Linked DNA regions of Schizosaccharomyces pombe. Each later gene encodes a partner of the first gene's protein in a complex. Each region holds a gene or a part of one and is shown on either strand. Other genes may lie near its edges.

Evidence for each region.
Region 2: mrpl33 (region 1) and mrpl22 share a complex: the UniProt entries of both Schizosaccharomyces pombe proteins name them as parts of the mitochondrial large ribosomal subunit.
Region 3: mrpl33 (region 1) and mrpl15 share a complex: the UniProt entries of both Schizosaccharomyces pombe proteins name them as parts of the mitochondrial large ribosomal subunit.
Region 4: mrpl33 (region 1) and mrpl51 share a complex: the UniProt entries of both Schizosaccharomyces pombe proteins name them as parts of the mitochondrial large ribosomal subunit.

What each region holds. Positions count from the first base shown.
Region 1 is NC_003421.2:2,221,414-2,224,287, forward strand, and holds mrpl33 (mitochondrial 54S ribosomal protein uL30m), read right to left. Parts: upstream 1,170-2,874; 5' UTR 1,159-1,169; coding exon 1,109-1,158; intron 1,054-1,108; coding exon 810-1,053; 3' UTR 791-809; downstream 1-790. Other genes in the region: SPOM_SPCC1919.07 (uncharacterized protein), read left to right, coding at 170-790; tif6 (translation initiation factor-like ribosome biogenesis protein), read left to right, coding at 1,741-1,775, 1,830-1,901, 2,217-2,844. UniProt on the Schizosaccharomyces pombe protein: Component of the mitochondrial ribosome (mitoribosome), a dedicated translation machinery responsible for the synthesis of mitochondrial genome-encoded proteins, including at least some of the essential transmembrane subunits of the mitochondrial respiratory chain.
Region 2 is NC_003421.2:2,027,601-2,031,087, forward strand, and holds mrpl22 (mitochondrial 54S ribosomal protein uL22m), read right to left. Parts: upstream 1,535-3,487; 5' UTR 1,431-1,534; coding exon 681-1,430; 3' UTR 574-680; downstream 1-573. Other genes in the region: helicase Hrr1, read left to right, coding at 2,055-3,487. UniProt on the Schizosaccharomyces pombe protein: Component of the mitochondrial ribosome (mitoribosome), a dedicated translation machinery responsible for the synthesis of mitochondrial genome-encoded proteins, including at least some of the essential transmembrane subunits of the mitochondrial respiratory chain.
Region 3 is NC_003423.3:4,362,325-4,365,807, forward strand, and holds mrpl15 (mitochondrial 54S ribosomal protein mL57), read right to left. Parts: upstream 1,468-3,483; 5' UTR 1,359-1,467; coding exon 726-1,358; 3' UTR 558-725; downstream 1-557. Other genes in the region: SIN component scaffold protein Sid4, read left to right, coding at 1-518; SPOM_SPBC1539.02 (uncharacterized protein), read left to right, coding at 1,692-2,852; arg41 (argininosuccinate lyase), read right to left, coding at 3,061-3,483. UniProt on the Schizosaccharomyces pombe protein: Component of the mitochondrial ribosome (mitoribosome), a dedicated translation machinery responsible for the synthesis of mitochondrial genome-encoded proteins, including at least some of the essential transmembrane subunits of the mitochondrial respiratory chain.
Region 4 is NC_003423.3:1,698,073-1,701,521, reverse strand, and holds mrpl51 (mitochondrial 54S ribosomal protein mL43), read right to left. Parts: upstream 1,590-3,449; 5' UTR 1,441-1,589; coding exon 1,375-1,440; exon of another isoform or gene 1,284-1,374; coding exon 1,121-1,283; exon of another isoform or gene 1,025-1,120; coding exon 816-1,024; 3' UTR 650-815; downstream 1-649. Other genes in the region: cytosolic thiouridylase subunit Ctu2, read left to right, coding at 1-649; protein Mdm34, read left to right, coding at 2,429-3,449. UniProt on the Schizosaccharomyces pombe protein: Component of the mitochondrial ribosome (mitoribosome), a dedicated translation machinery responsible for the synthesis of mitochondrial genome-encoded proteins, including at least some of the essential transmembrane subunits of the mitochondrial respiratory chain.

The DNA.
Region 1 (2,874 bases):
AAAAAAAAAAAAGGATTCTTCTTTATTATTGCTTCAAATTTTATTATACTCGAGTCGTTAAAAATATAAACCACTACGAGAAAAGAAAAAAATTGACCAACATTGTAAAAAAACTTATTGTCTTATAGGGTACAGGTTCCTCCTTGCCTCTTCAGACACGACGTCCCATATGGTAGTACAAGATAAATGGAAGAGAAAAGCGACATTAGCGTATAAAAAAAAGCATGACATTCATGATGCACCTGTAAAACCTCGTAAAAAAAATTTGGGAAATAACGAATGGAGATTTAAAAATGCAGGGGAATACTTTGATGAAGATAACAATGAGGAAGAATATCCAAGTTTGGAAAGTTTGAAGACCGTGGGGAATGGAGATACAATTCAAGATGAAGAAGAAGATTTCGAGTATTCAAAACTACAAGCACGGCCCCTTACTGGTTTGGGAATTAGCAACCAAAAACCCAAGTCCAAAGTTCGGACTATCCAACGTGAAGAAGTAGCCGACATGTTGGAGAGCGTTGAGCATGAAAAGTCAATTCAAGAATTCCGTAAGCGTTATAATGTACAAAAGCCAAAGGTAAACATTAGCCATGCTGAAGCGGAAGAAGATATTGATTCTTTTCTTGAAAGTATGGATCAGTCTGCTCCGCCTTCCATTACAGAAGATAAAGGGGAAAATTACATTTCTTCTAATCATTCCAGCATGCATATTTCAAGAAACGACTCTAGGAACTATATGTCTGAAAAGCCAAACAAAGACCAAAGTTGGTTAGATGAACTATTACGATAAATATAACTAGAATGAAAATTTAACTTTCAAACATGTTATTCAATTCTTTTAAACCGTTATTGTATCGATGTATCACTGTAAATCCGCTACTAGAAGCAAGAGACTTCTTTTCTTGCCCAGCGGCTAACTTTTGTTTCACAGTACTGACACTAACGAGTTCTTTTACTTTAAAAATTCTTCCCGCATTGATTGGATTTACATCGCAATAGACTACGGAGTGTCTTTTTGTTAACCTCAAAGAATGCAAAACGCTGCGCACCTTACTAAAATATTGGTTAGCAATTACAAGCATGTTTTTCTCGTTTCCAAAACACGTACCTCGAGAGCCCGATGGCTGACCTTTCTAAACGAACTCGAAAGAATGACATTATGGTAAACTAGAAGTTCGTGGAGTCCGTTTAACACTAAATATTGAAACTCTTTTAGTTCAACCGATAAAATACAATTCATATCGCAAGCTCGTTATTGTTCACTATTATTCACTACGTTGCTATCTATTTAACGATACATTGAATTACGATGAATTTTTTGCGATCCACATTTAGTGGAATGCAGTATATTAACTACAATGTTATATTTATTGTTATAAGAAGTCTATTAGTGTAAGTCACCGATATGGTTAAAAAATGGAGAGGAGCGATTTACAGTAACATCTATAATTATCATCTTTCTAGTAGTTGTAATCACATGGTGTCTATGAGTATAGACGACTACTTATCTGTTTACTGTCAATAAACGGATCTTTACTAATATTCCAACATGTAACATATAGTGATACGCAACCTAGTAAATCATTAGTGTAATGCAGTATTACCGATATATCACAAAAAATTATGTTAATTGGTATTACGTGTCTGCTTCACAATGCTAATATCATATTAACGATGTTCAATGGATTATTATTTTTAAGATGTGAAATTTGGCTGGGATAAAACTTTTTCTTTACCAAAATGGCACTTCGTGCTCAATTCGAGAATTCTAATGAGTAAGTTTACTCAGCTTTTTTGCTTAATAGACGCATGATATTAACAAATTATAGGATTGGTGTCTTTTCTAATCTCACAAACTCATACGCACTTGTAGCGCTTGGAGGCTCTGAAAACTTCTACAGGTAAGCTTAACGTTTATTTGATGCCAAAATTTAATGTTCTAAATGTAAACGATTCAAAATTTTTTTAAAGGTTCTTAAAATCCTTAACCAGTCGAACGTATTATGAGAAAAATAAATAGCACATATGTGAATGATGTAGCCTAACTACTCTTTAATTGAGTAAAAGAGACTTTGCTACATAAATGCAAACCACTACTTAAACTCTGGCGGTTTGCTGTTCATTACCTTTATTATTCCTTGACTCGATGCAGCTCGACAAATTATTTTTTTTGGCATTTTTTACATTTATCAACTTTTCACTAACTTTTATAACAGCGTGTTCGAGGCAGAGTTAGGTGATGTTGTACCCGTTGTTCATACCACAATTGGAGGAACCAGAATCATTGGTCGTTTGACATGTGGTAATAGAAAAGGTCTGTTAGTTCCCTCTTCTACCACCGATAATGAACTACAGCACCTCCGCAATTCTCTTCCAGATCCTGTCAAAATCCAACGTGTTGATGAACGACTTTCAGCTCTAGGAAACATTGTGGCTTGCAACGACTATGTGGCCCTTGTTCATCCTGATATTGAGCGTGAAACCGAGGAAATTATTGCTGATGTCTTAGATGTTGAAGTTTTCCGTCAAACCGTTGCAGGCAATGTTTTAACCGGTTCGTATTGTGCATTGAGCAATCAAGGTGCTTTGGTTCACCCTCGTACTAGCATTCAGGAACAGGATGAATTGTCATCACTTCTTCAAGTTCCTCTTGTTGCCGGTACCATCAACCGTGGTTCCGATGTTATCGGTGCTGGTCTAGTTGTGAACGACTGGTGTGCGTTTGCTGGACTTGATACTACGGCTACTGAATTGGCTGTCTGTGAATCTATATTTAAACTTCAAGATGCTCAACCTTCTGCTATTATAAGCAACAGAGACACTCTTGTTGAGTCTTATACATAAGCAGTCGGTGTGAGCTAACTAAAAAATTAT
Region 2 (3,487 bases), 190 kb from region 1:
GTGGTTCAAGTTAATATAGTTGATACATTTACTATCTCAACTTATTTTTTCATTATGGCCCATTAAAAAGAATTACTGTCTATTTGATGCGGTTTGTTTCCTTTTTTTTCCTACTGATCATTTGCTACTGCAAATGAGTTAAAATGCGGATCCAGCGTACCTTTACACCTAATAATTGGGGAATTAATGATATTTTATACTCGGTTTGCTTGATTGTTTAAAAGTGTCTGATGAATTTAGAACCAATAAATATGTGTCAAAATGGTGAAGAGATATGGATAGCTTCAACATATGGTCCAAAGCACGTTTTGAAAAGTCAAAAAAAGAAGCTCGTTGCAATGCTTCAAACCAAATTTGAAAAATGTTAATGAGGCAAACGATTGCATGAATGATTTAATAAGATTAGACAGTTTAAAAAGAATTGCGTTCTTTACGAAAACGTATCATTGAACTAAAAGTGATGTATGTACAGGTTGGTTAGTTTACCTTTTTACAGTACTATTTTTCTACTGATACCATCAGCACCATAGAGGTAAATACAAAATTATGGCGTTGCTAAAGAAATAAATAATAAGGGAAACCATATTCTCATAAAAAAAAAACGGCACTAGAATTACTATAAACGATATTGGGGGGAAATATTATTAGAGTATCAAAGATATGGGCATCTCAATAATGACTTAGCAAGTGAAAAAGTTAGATTTTAGGTATATTGGTCGGTTAGGCAGAGGCGTCCAAACTTTCTTTCTTTCTAGTCTTTGTTGACGACGCTGTAAATCGCGCAAGAGAGCTCGCTCATCTCTTAAAACAACAGTAACTCGAACCCGTGGAGATCTCTCAATGGCACGACCTCCACGGCCCATAGTGATAAGTTTCTTTAAATACTTTGCCTTTCCAACCCATATTTGATCAACGTAGAGAGTACTCTCATCAAGACCAGCTTCACGAACAGCGTTTTCTCGAGCAGAAACCAAAGCAGTTGCGATGTACTTGGAAATTTTTTTATCTGACATTTTCATTTGAAGTAAAGCATGATAAAATGGCTTATGGGCAATTTGACGACACAAAGCGCCGACTTTCTTTAAAGAGGAGCGAAGCACCATTGATTGTAAGGTGTAGGAAGGATCCATGGTCTCCTGTTTTTTGAAAGAAATACGTGACCTTGGTCTCTCTTTTACACGCTCTTCCTTTTGCTGACGATTAGAATCGTCCTTCTGGTTAGCAAGCATTGAGAAAATGTCGGACCCTTTTTGCGAACCCAAATTTGCAGGATTTTGTGCAGACTCCCTTAAGTAGGATCCATTTGAAAATTCTCTAACAAAAGAAAGTAATGGAAATTTGTAATGGTACGTTTTAGAATTCAATCCTATCGTGGACGATGGAACTAAAAAGCCCTTTGATATTTTCATAAATTGATTAATGTATTTCATAATTAAATCTTAAAAATTTTTTCCCAAATATTCCTTCCACACATAGAAGTCAACGTTTTCGACTAATTTGAGCAAATGCGCTTTCTCAATGTTGTAACAAAACCAGGTAAATATTACATGCCAAGGTGGTACTAATAGGAATTGCAACCTAACGAATTGCTAACTGTACTATGTTATAGGTCAGTTAGCATTTCCCTCCTTATACAGTTATAAAAATCTTAAATGAGAGAGCTCACTATCACTATGCAAGCTACTCAGTTTGTAAATCTATTTCAAGGATGGATAAACTACGATAAGGTAACTTTACAACGATGTTAACACATGCTTACATGCTTTATGCTGGCACACTAAGCTGCACATTGCGGGTATTATCTGAACGCGTTAAATGCATGGTCACGTAAAGACAGAAAACGGCCCTTGGCAGTAAACAAACAACCCATTTGTATGTTAGACAAATAATATTAGAGACAGGTGCAGAGACTGTACATGAATTGTTATTTATGATATCTTTTAGCTTCTTTGGGGAGGACGAGATTAATATTACGACCTAGTGGGCGCGTACTGAGATATTTTAGTACAATAACCTTTTGAAATTTTTTGGATATTATCCTTTTCTTTTTTATTATGGAACAAGTACAAGATGAAATTTGGAAGTTAAGTACGCTGGACGCCTGGGAAATGGTGAACAAAAATACAGAAGTTGTGTTTGATGAAATCCCCGAGCCAGAAACTTTAAGTGAAATGAAAAGACACCCATTGTATAGCAACATCTTTAACGCCGATAATAATACTACGAGTTTCACAGAACAAATCGAGACTTCTGAAACCTCCAAAACCCAAGACTCGGAGGGGAACAAAGTTGATAAAAATTTAAAAGAAAACAAGTCAATACGTCGTAAGAGAAGCATTGACAACGATTATGAATTGAGTAATGTAAAGAGAAATGATATAACATCGGGAAAAAATAGAGAATTCGAAAACGAACACCATCCCGCAAGCGATACTTCTTCTTGGCGGGAACTACCATCAATTCCAACGTTGGAAGAATTGACGTCAAAGAGTGTTGAATTACCTTCAAACAACATATACGGAGGATACAAGTCCTTTGAAGATTACTTATCTATACACTATCGGTTGCTACGTGAGGACGCAGTTTCCCCATTACGAGAAAGTGTGCTTCGGTACAAGGTAAACCCCAATTACATTACCGGCTCTTCGTTAGCCGTATATGATCATGTGCGGATAGATGGCTATACAATATCTTCCAGTGTTATAGCTGCAAAATTATCCTTCAGTGTTCGCGCTAAGAAAAAAATAAAATGGGCTACCAGTCGTCGTCTTATCAGTGGATCTTTAGTTTTATTAAGCAATGATGATTTCCAGACTTTTCGCATTGGAACTGTCTGTGCGCGGCCCTTGAGTGGCCTTAATAAACATCCTCATGAAATAGATGTCAAATTTGAAGATATTAGTATCTCTTTAGATCCTCGAGAAGAATATGTTATGATCGAAGCTACTTCAGGCTATTGGGAAGCTTACAAGCATGTTCTTCGTTCATTACAGAGGCTTTCTGCTAGCACATTCCCGATGAAGGATTACTTGGTACACTGTAAAAGTAATCAGGAGACTGCTAAACACATACAAAATAATCCTAGGATACGCATAAATTCTATCTTAAAAAATAACTCTCAAAAAATCGTAAATGCTCTTGAGCCGTTCGGTCCTGGCGAGTATATACTAGACTCGTCACAGTTAAAAGCTTACCAGTCCATGCTGACTAAGAGACTCTCCATTATTCAAGGCCCTCCAGGGACTGGTAAAAGCTTTGTTACTCTTAAAGCCATAGAAACATTACTTGAGAATACTCACTCCCATGTTCTTCCGATTTTAGTAGCTTGCCAAACGAATCATGCAGTCGATCAAATATTGATTCGTTTATTGCATCAAGGCGCTTCAGTAATGCGACTAGGTTCAAGAACGAAGGATCCTGAGATTGCAGCGGTTACGATTTTTCAAAAAGCAAAGCACACCAAGCATTCATTTAAGGCTGCTTATAA
Region 3 (3,483 bases), on another chromosome or scaffold:
AGAATACTATGCTGAATGACGGGTCTACAGCCCCTGCAAAAAATGATATAAGAAATGTTATTAATACCAATAATCTTGATGCAAAATTGTCAGATGAAAGTGAGTTAATGATCGAAAAGAACAAAAGCTACTCAACACCTGCTTCATCTACCATCCCTACTTTCCATACCTCACAGCCTCTTACTTCCTTAAATATGCCTGATTCTAGATTTAATCTGGCTAAGGAAAAACAACTTTATTATCGGCTAGGCCTTCAGCATATAGATCAACAGTGTAGTGTTGAAACAGCCAACATGTTGAAAACAGTTTTGGTCCAATTAAATATCCCTTTTGCAATTTTTCCTTCTACCATCGGACAAGTCAGACGCCAGCTGCAACAAGGTCGTAGACTCTACCAATGGGCACGAAATATCCATTATCTAATATACGAGGAGAATATGCGTGACGGTTTGGTTTCAAAACAGTGTTTAGCAGATATGCTGAAAAAGATAAGGGAGCTTAAAAAACGTAGTTTGTGAATGGATGCCAATGACTTACAACTCGATCAATAAGATTTTGGGATGCAGCTTATATTATACAAATGTTGATAAATATGAAATATATTATTAACTACTGACTGAATGAAAGAGGCGTTAAATAAATCGATAGTAATAATAAGCGTATGGCAAAATGTACTATATTATGGCATCCTTTGCATAAAGAATTTTATCCTGCTGCTACACATCTTATTGATTATGCACGGTATTAGGTCTCACGAAATCTTTTGTCAAATCTGATATGATGCTTTTCTTACAAAAATTCATAGCCTCAACTCCGCCTTTTTGGAAGTAAACGACAGCAACAAGTCCGGAAACAATACTACTGTATATCTTTTCAAAACTAGACGAAGATGGAGAATTAGGCCCTTTTAATGGCAAAATACATTGTGTGGCAGTTTCAGGATTCCATTTTTTTGCAACTTCAGCGAGTCGAGCAGGGGAACGAAGATTTACTAAATCCTTGTATGAAGGTATTGTGCTAAAGTTTCCTGATTCCAAATAATGATTAAGTAAGCAAACATCGATAACTGCATTTCCAACCGAAACGAAAGGTTCATTATATCTTTTCAGCCCATGTTTATAAGATTTATGAGTTACAATTTGTTCTCTTAGAGATTTGTCTGAGATGTAATTTTTTTCACCAAAAACACGACTGAAAAAGCTGTCAATGTCTTCTTCTGTAGATGTCATTTCATATCTGTACTTATTTTCATTACACGCAATTTTCCCAATTCGACGGACACAATTCCATGATGATGATCTGAACACAAATTTATTTTCAATTTGAAGTCCTAAACGATTACAATGTCTTGTTAACATACGGATGGCATAAAATCTTAGAAAGAGCTTCAAGTTCCTCAAACCCTTGTATGGAAAATCAACTTTTCGAAAGAAAAGATATCTGTTTTCTGCAACTAGAATATAGGTTGTTTTTAAAAAACATTGGCCGATTACGAAGTAGTAAAATAGCGCACTACGCTTGAGATCACAGTGTACGAACGTCAAGGTATGCTAATGTTATCAAACTGTTTCAATAATTTACAATTTATTTTGTGTTTTACTGTTAAGTGTATATAAACAACTACTACAAAGTTATTCCAAAGAAACAATTAATTGAAAGGATACTGAAGTTTTGGTTGAAAATTTGTCACAATGAACCAAGATGATTTCAGAAAGCTTTTAGCTACTCCAAAAGCCGAAACCTCCCAGTTAAAAAATTTCTCATCGAATAAAAGTCAGCGACTTGTTTTTGGTCGTAAACATAAGACGGCCAAATTGGAAGCACCCAGAGCCCTAATTAAAAGAAAACAACTAAGTCATTCTACATCGTCAGACATTACGAGACATTCTAATGCAAAAAATTCAGGGAAAGATACTCAATTTTATGAAGAGCCTTCTTCCAAACAGGATATTGAGTTGCACAAATTGCACGAGAAACTTCGCAATGGCCAAATTACGACAAAAGAATATTCAGAAAAATCTAAAGAATTAGGCGGAGATTTGAATACAACTCATCTCGTGCGTGGTCTTGATCGAAAATTGCTTGAAAAAGTTCGCTCTAATGAGCTAGCCTTGGATGATTCTCTGCTTTCTTCGAGTGAGAAAGAAGTTGACGAAGAAGCAGACAAGCTTTTAGAGAAAGTTGCTGAGGAGTCATCACATCCTGAATCTGTTTCTATTCTAGAAGAAAAAAAGAAGATACCTCTTTATCCTAATGGACAACCGAAATATCGTAAAATTTTGGAAAATGGAAAAAAAGTTAAATATTTGCTTGATGAAAATGGTGAAATCCTAAAACGGCTTGTGAAGAAGGAAAAAAAGTTAAAAAATGATAATGAACGTTTAGAAAATGAACATAGAACCGAGAAATTAAACGTGAACGCTAATAGCTTAGGGAAAAGCTTTGTTAAGCATGATATACCACTTCCACCAGTTGATTTGAAGCTCGATATTTTCGAGGAGGTTGGAGAATATGATCCTTTTCATGAAAATGATAAAGAGCCTGCTGAGTTGAAGGCGAAGGATGCTTTTCAGCTTAAAGGTCATCATGAATTGGATGCGCCTTATCATAAGAAAGTCTTTGATACAAATCAATATAGCGATCTTAAACCTACGAATTTTATGTCTCAAATTCATCGACTTGCCAAAGTTCAGGAACGCAAAGAAGAAGAAGAGCGAAAGAAAGGAAAAGACGGACAAATTGTTGATGCAGGTTTCGGGCTTGTATTATCAAAAGACGATACAGCAGATATTCACGAGTTAGGGGAATCTGACGATGATGATAATGTTAAAAGGAGAAAGACGAAAGGTTAAAAGTACTACTTCATTCAGTATGAATATTTACGATTTAAGATTTAAGTTACGTGTTTTTAAAATATTATTATGAGGCTACAATTATTTATTTGCCCGTTTTACACCAAAAAACCTCGATTCGGGGAATTATGTTGAGGAAGCCCTGTTAAATGATCAAACGAACATATAGAAAAAGTAAGTATATCCATATCATTTCATGTAAACTTATCTACTCCAAGGCCTTTTTAATGGTTTGGATTTGTTCTAATACACAACTCTTAGCGGTACCACCAATCGCACAACGCTTCTCCACACTGGATTCATAGTTGAAAACATCTGCAACATCTTCTTCATATAATGGGTGTAGCGATTTAAAATCTTCAACACTTAGCTTATCAATGGTAGTGTTTCTTTCCTCGGCCATTCGGACAGCGGACCCGGAAATATGATGAGTTTCACGAAAGGGAACACCTTTACGCACAAGGTATTCTGCCAAATCAGTCGCTAGCATGTCCGCAGTCAAGCTCTTAGCAATATTTTCTGGATTTACAGTTAAAGTAGAAAGAACTCCGGTTAGAATTTGAATGGAATCCAAAACAGTTTTGGAAGAATCGAAAAGCGGTTCTTTATCTTCTTGGAGGTCTTTGTTATA
Region 4 (3,449 bases), on another chromosome or scaffold:
CGCAGATAATGAGAAATTTAATCCAGAAGTCATTAGTTCGTTAGCCTCGCGTCAAGATTTACTTTACCGAATTCGGGATAAGCTTTTAGTATCCTATGCCCGGAAGGCAAATTGTGATACCATTGTTTTTGGTGATAGCGGTACTACAATTGCTGCAAGAGTTCTTGAACTTGTGGCAGAGGGTCGAGGTTTTGCGATACCATGGTACACTTCTGTCTGCTCTAAGCTTCCAAATTGCGATACTTTCCTACTACGTCCCCTACGTGAAGTTTTGTCTTCAGACCTCAAGTCGTATATGAACATTAAGGGATTAGCTTTCTGCGATAGCTTAATTGAAGCACGTCCTAATACTATTCATGGCGTTACAGAATCATATTTCTCATCGCTGAATGATACATTCCCAAGTCTGGTTAGCACCGTTGTCAAAATGAGCTCAAAATTGCATGTGCCTTCTACAGAAGCCATATGTACCATCTGTAATCTACCAATGCAAGAAGATGCTGAGACTTGGTTACAAAAAACTACGGTTGAACATCCGGATTCCGTTGAAGGTATTAAGAATCAAAATGTTTGCTATGGCTGTTCTGTTTCTTTAAAAAGCTTAAAAGGGACGTTGCATATTCCTGATATTGAAAAAGAAGGGATTTGATACATCTGTACACTTACTACCTGGTTAACTAGAGTATTTATGGGAAGATAAATTTGGATAGGGTTTTGTATTTCGGACAAAAAGGTTAGACATAATAACATAACGAAAATGATTAAATTGAATTTTCTTTTTTTTGTATGAAATAATAAGTAGTTTGTAGAGGAATCTAAGGGGACTTTTTCTTATAAATTTCATGGGGCTTTGCTTGATCGGAAAATGGACTCCAAATACCACGAACGGATGGGTTTGTTGACTCAACAGGATATTTTATGAGGCGAGGTTTCAAACCATCACTATCTCTGCATAGAATTGCTTTTTGAAATATTGAAGACGCTGACATTTTCCTTGTACAAATGACCTTCTCTCGACCAGTATCTATTATCGTAGCATTAGTAAAAAACACTATTTTAAGGAGTTCATATTTATAAAACTAAGAGGATCACCATAATAAGAGAAAAGTCTTGGACGTACTGTAATAAGCTCGGATTAATGGATGCTTGCCTTGGCGGTTTGTAACATGAAATTCCACATCTTGAGATTCTTTGGCCAAAGACTCAAGCTTTGTGGATAAAAATTCTTTCATGCCTTTTGAGCTTCCACCCCAATTACAATACGAAAACTCAATTCGACGGCACTAAAAAGAAAATTAGTAATACGAAGTTAATGAAGGCCAATCTTTTTTTTTTTTTTTTTTTTAAAAAAAAAGAAAGCTGATTAAATCTTACTGGGCGGGTAAATGAACCTAGTCCATTTTTGGGAATTGAAATTTTAGGAATGATTTCAATCATCATTAAGTGAGTAAAAGGCCGTAAAAAAGGGGATACCGTCTTTTAAAAACCAGAATTCTTAATATGCTATATTGAAAAAAGTTGGGTGAGCAAATCCTTGCAGAAATAATGAAAAGTCGGTATGGAGACGTAAAGGGGTGTGTGGAAATTCGCAAATCCCAAATTGCTCTAAACTTCAATACTTGTTCCAATTGATTTAGAATGTTAAACTTAGTATGCAATTAGTTTTATAAAAAATTTTAGCAACAAAATCAAGTTTACTGTCTACCTACAGTTTCTGGTTACACACTTTGCAATACTTTACCTTTCTGCTCTTCTCTAAATAATGATATCTAGAAAGTTTACAGTGATTTTTTAACGTAGTACATGGACTGCGAACAAACATAATATAGGTTTTTTAAAACGAACAATTTTGATTTAATATCATTCATTTATGCAGAGATATCCTTTTCTGAAAGAGCAAAGTTGTATCGGTTCTTGTACTCGAAGTTCTTCAGCCTAGATATTTGTCAACATAGCAAATTAATACAGTAAGCAACACCACTAATATCATTTCTAAAATAATGGCTGAATTTCTGATTTGAATATCTAAGGAATTTCATTTCATGAAGCTTTATTTATCCCTCCTAAATGAACAGAATAGCAAGAAAATATATTTCACCAGTATAGCATAAGAAACTACTGTGCATTTTGTAATAATTTATTTAATGCATTCTAATACACCTTCGTTCATATACAGTACGATCGACCCTATCCTTATCTTGGCTATATCAAGGTTCAGTATGCCGCACTAGTGCATCAGCCAGCCTATCGATGTTTATTTACTGTCCGCCACTGTATGGAAGTTGTCGTTTCCCTATCCGAATTTAATAAAAATTTTGTAAAGAAATTGATCTAAAGCGTTAGTTACTTAGTCTATACTAGACGGTTCCTTACAAAAAAATTTGACATTTTTCATAGTTGATGTAGATAACTTAGGAAAATCAACAGAATGTCGTTTCGTGTAAAGGGATGGAGTGATCAGTTCTCTGAGTCATTCTATGAGCGAGCAACCACTTTGCTTACGGCTGCTTTAAACAAAGGCACTAAACACTCGATGATTGCAGACCACATCACTGTAAAAGAGTTGGATTTGGGTCCCCAACCTCCTCAACTGGAAATTTTAGAGGTTGGCGACTTAGCGCCAGACCGCTTTCAGGGCCTCTTTAATCTCCATTATTCGGGTGATGCTTCTTTGGTCTTGCAAACAAAAATTCGTGCCAATCCATTATCGGTGCAAAAAAGTAATGTTCCCAGTTTTAGTTCTCGTAATACAATGTTAGCATCTCGTGCACCGCTTACTGTGCCTATGTTTTTACGACTTTCCGACTTAAAGCTTAACGGAATAGTTGTTTTGGTGTTTTCAAAGCAGAAAGGTATCACTGTGGTATTTCGAAACGATCCTTTAGAATCCGTGCGTGTATCTTCCTCCTTTGATTCTATTCCTGCTATTGCTCGCTTTTTACAAAGAGAAATCGAGGTGCAACTGGTCTCCCTGTTTCAGGAAGAACTTCCTTCCATCATATACAAAATGTCAAGAATTTGGTTTGCCAAGTCCGACTCTAATCTATCTTTTCAAAAAATTCCTTTCACTTCTCCTAACCAATCTCATACTTCTCTGGCTAATTATAACCCAGATTTGCTAGATGGTCCTCCCGACTATCATGAATCTACGAAAGTCGACACTCATCTCCCAATTAAAATGGGCCCATTGGATGTCCAAACGCATCCTAACATTCGATCTATTGCTTCTTTAGCCTTATCCAGAAAAGCACTACTTCCTATTTCTTCTCCTTCAATACCTATGTCCATATACCGGTCAACTCCTCCCGATACGATTATACAGCAATTGACTACTCAATCTGATGATATTTCTGCTGTATCTTCCCCTGCAACCCAATATTCCGCATCAGACTATCTTGGTTCAAATGACACCACGGCTAGGCCATCCATTTTTGGTCGTAGTCATGGTA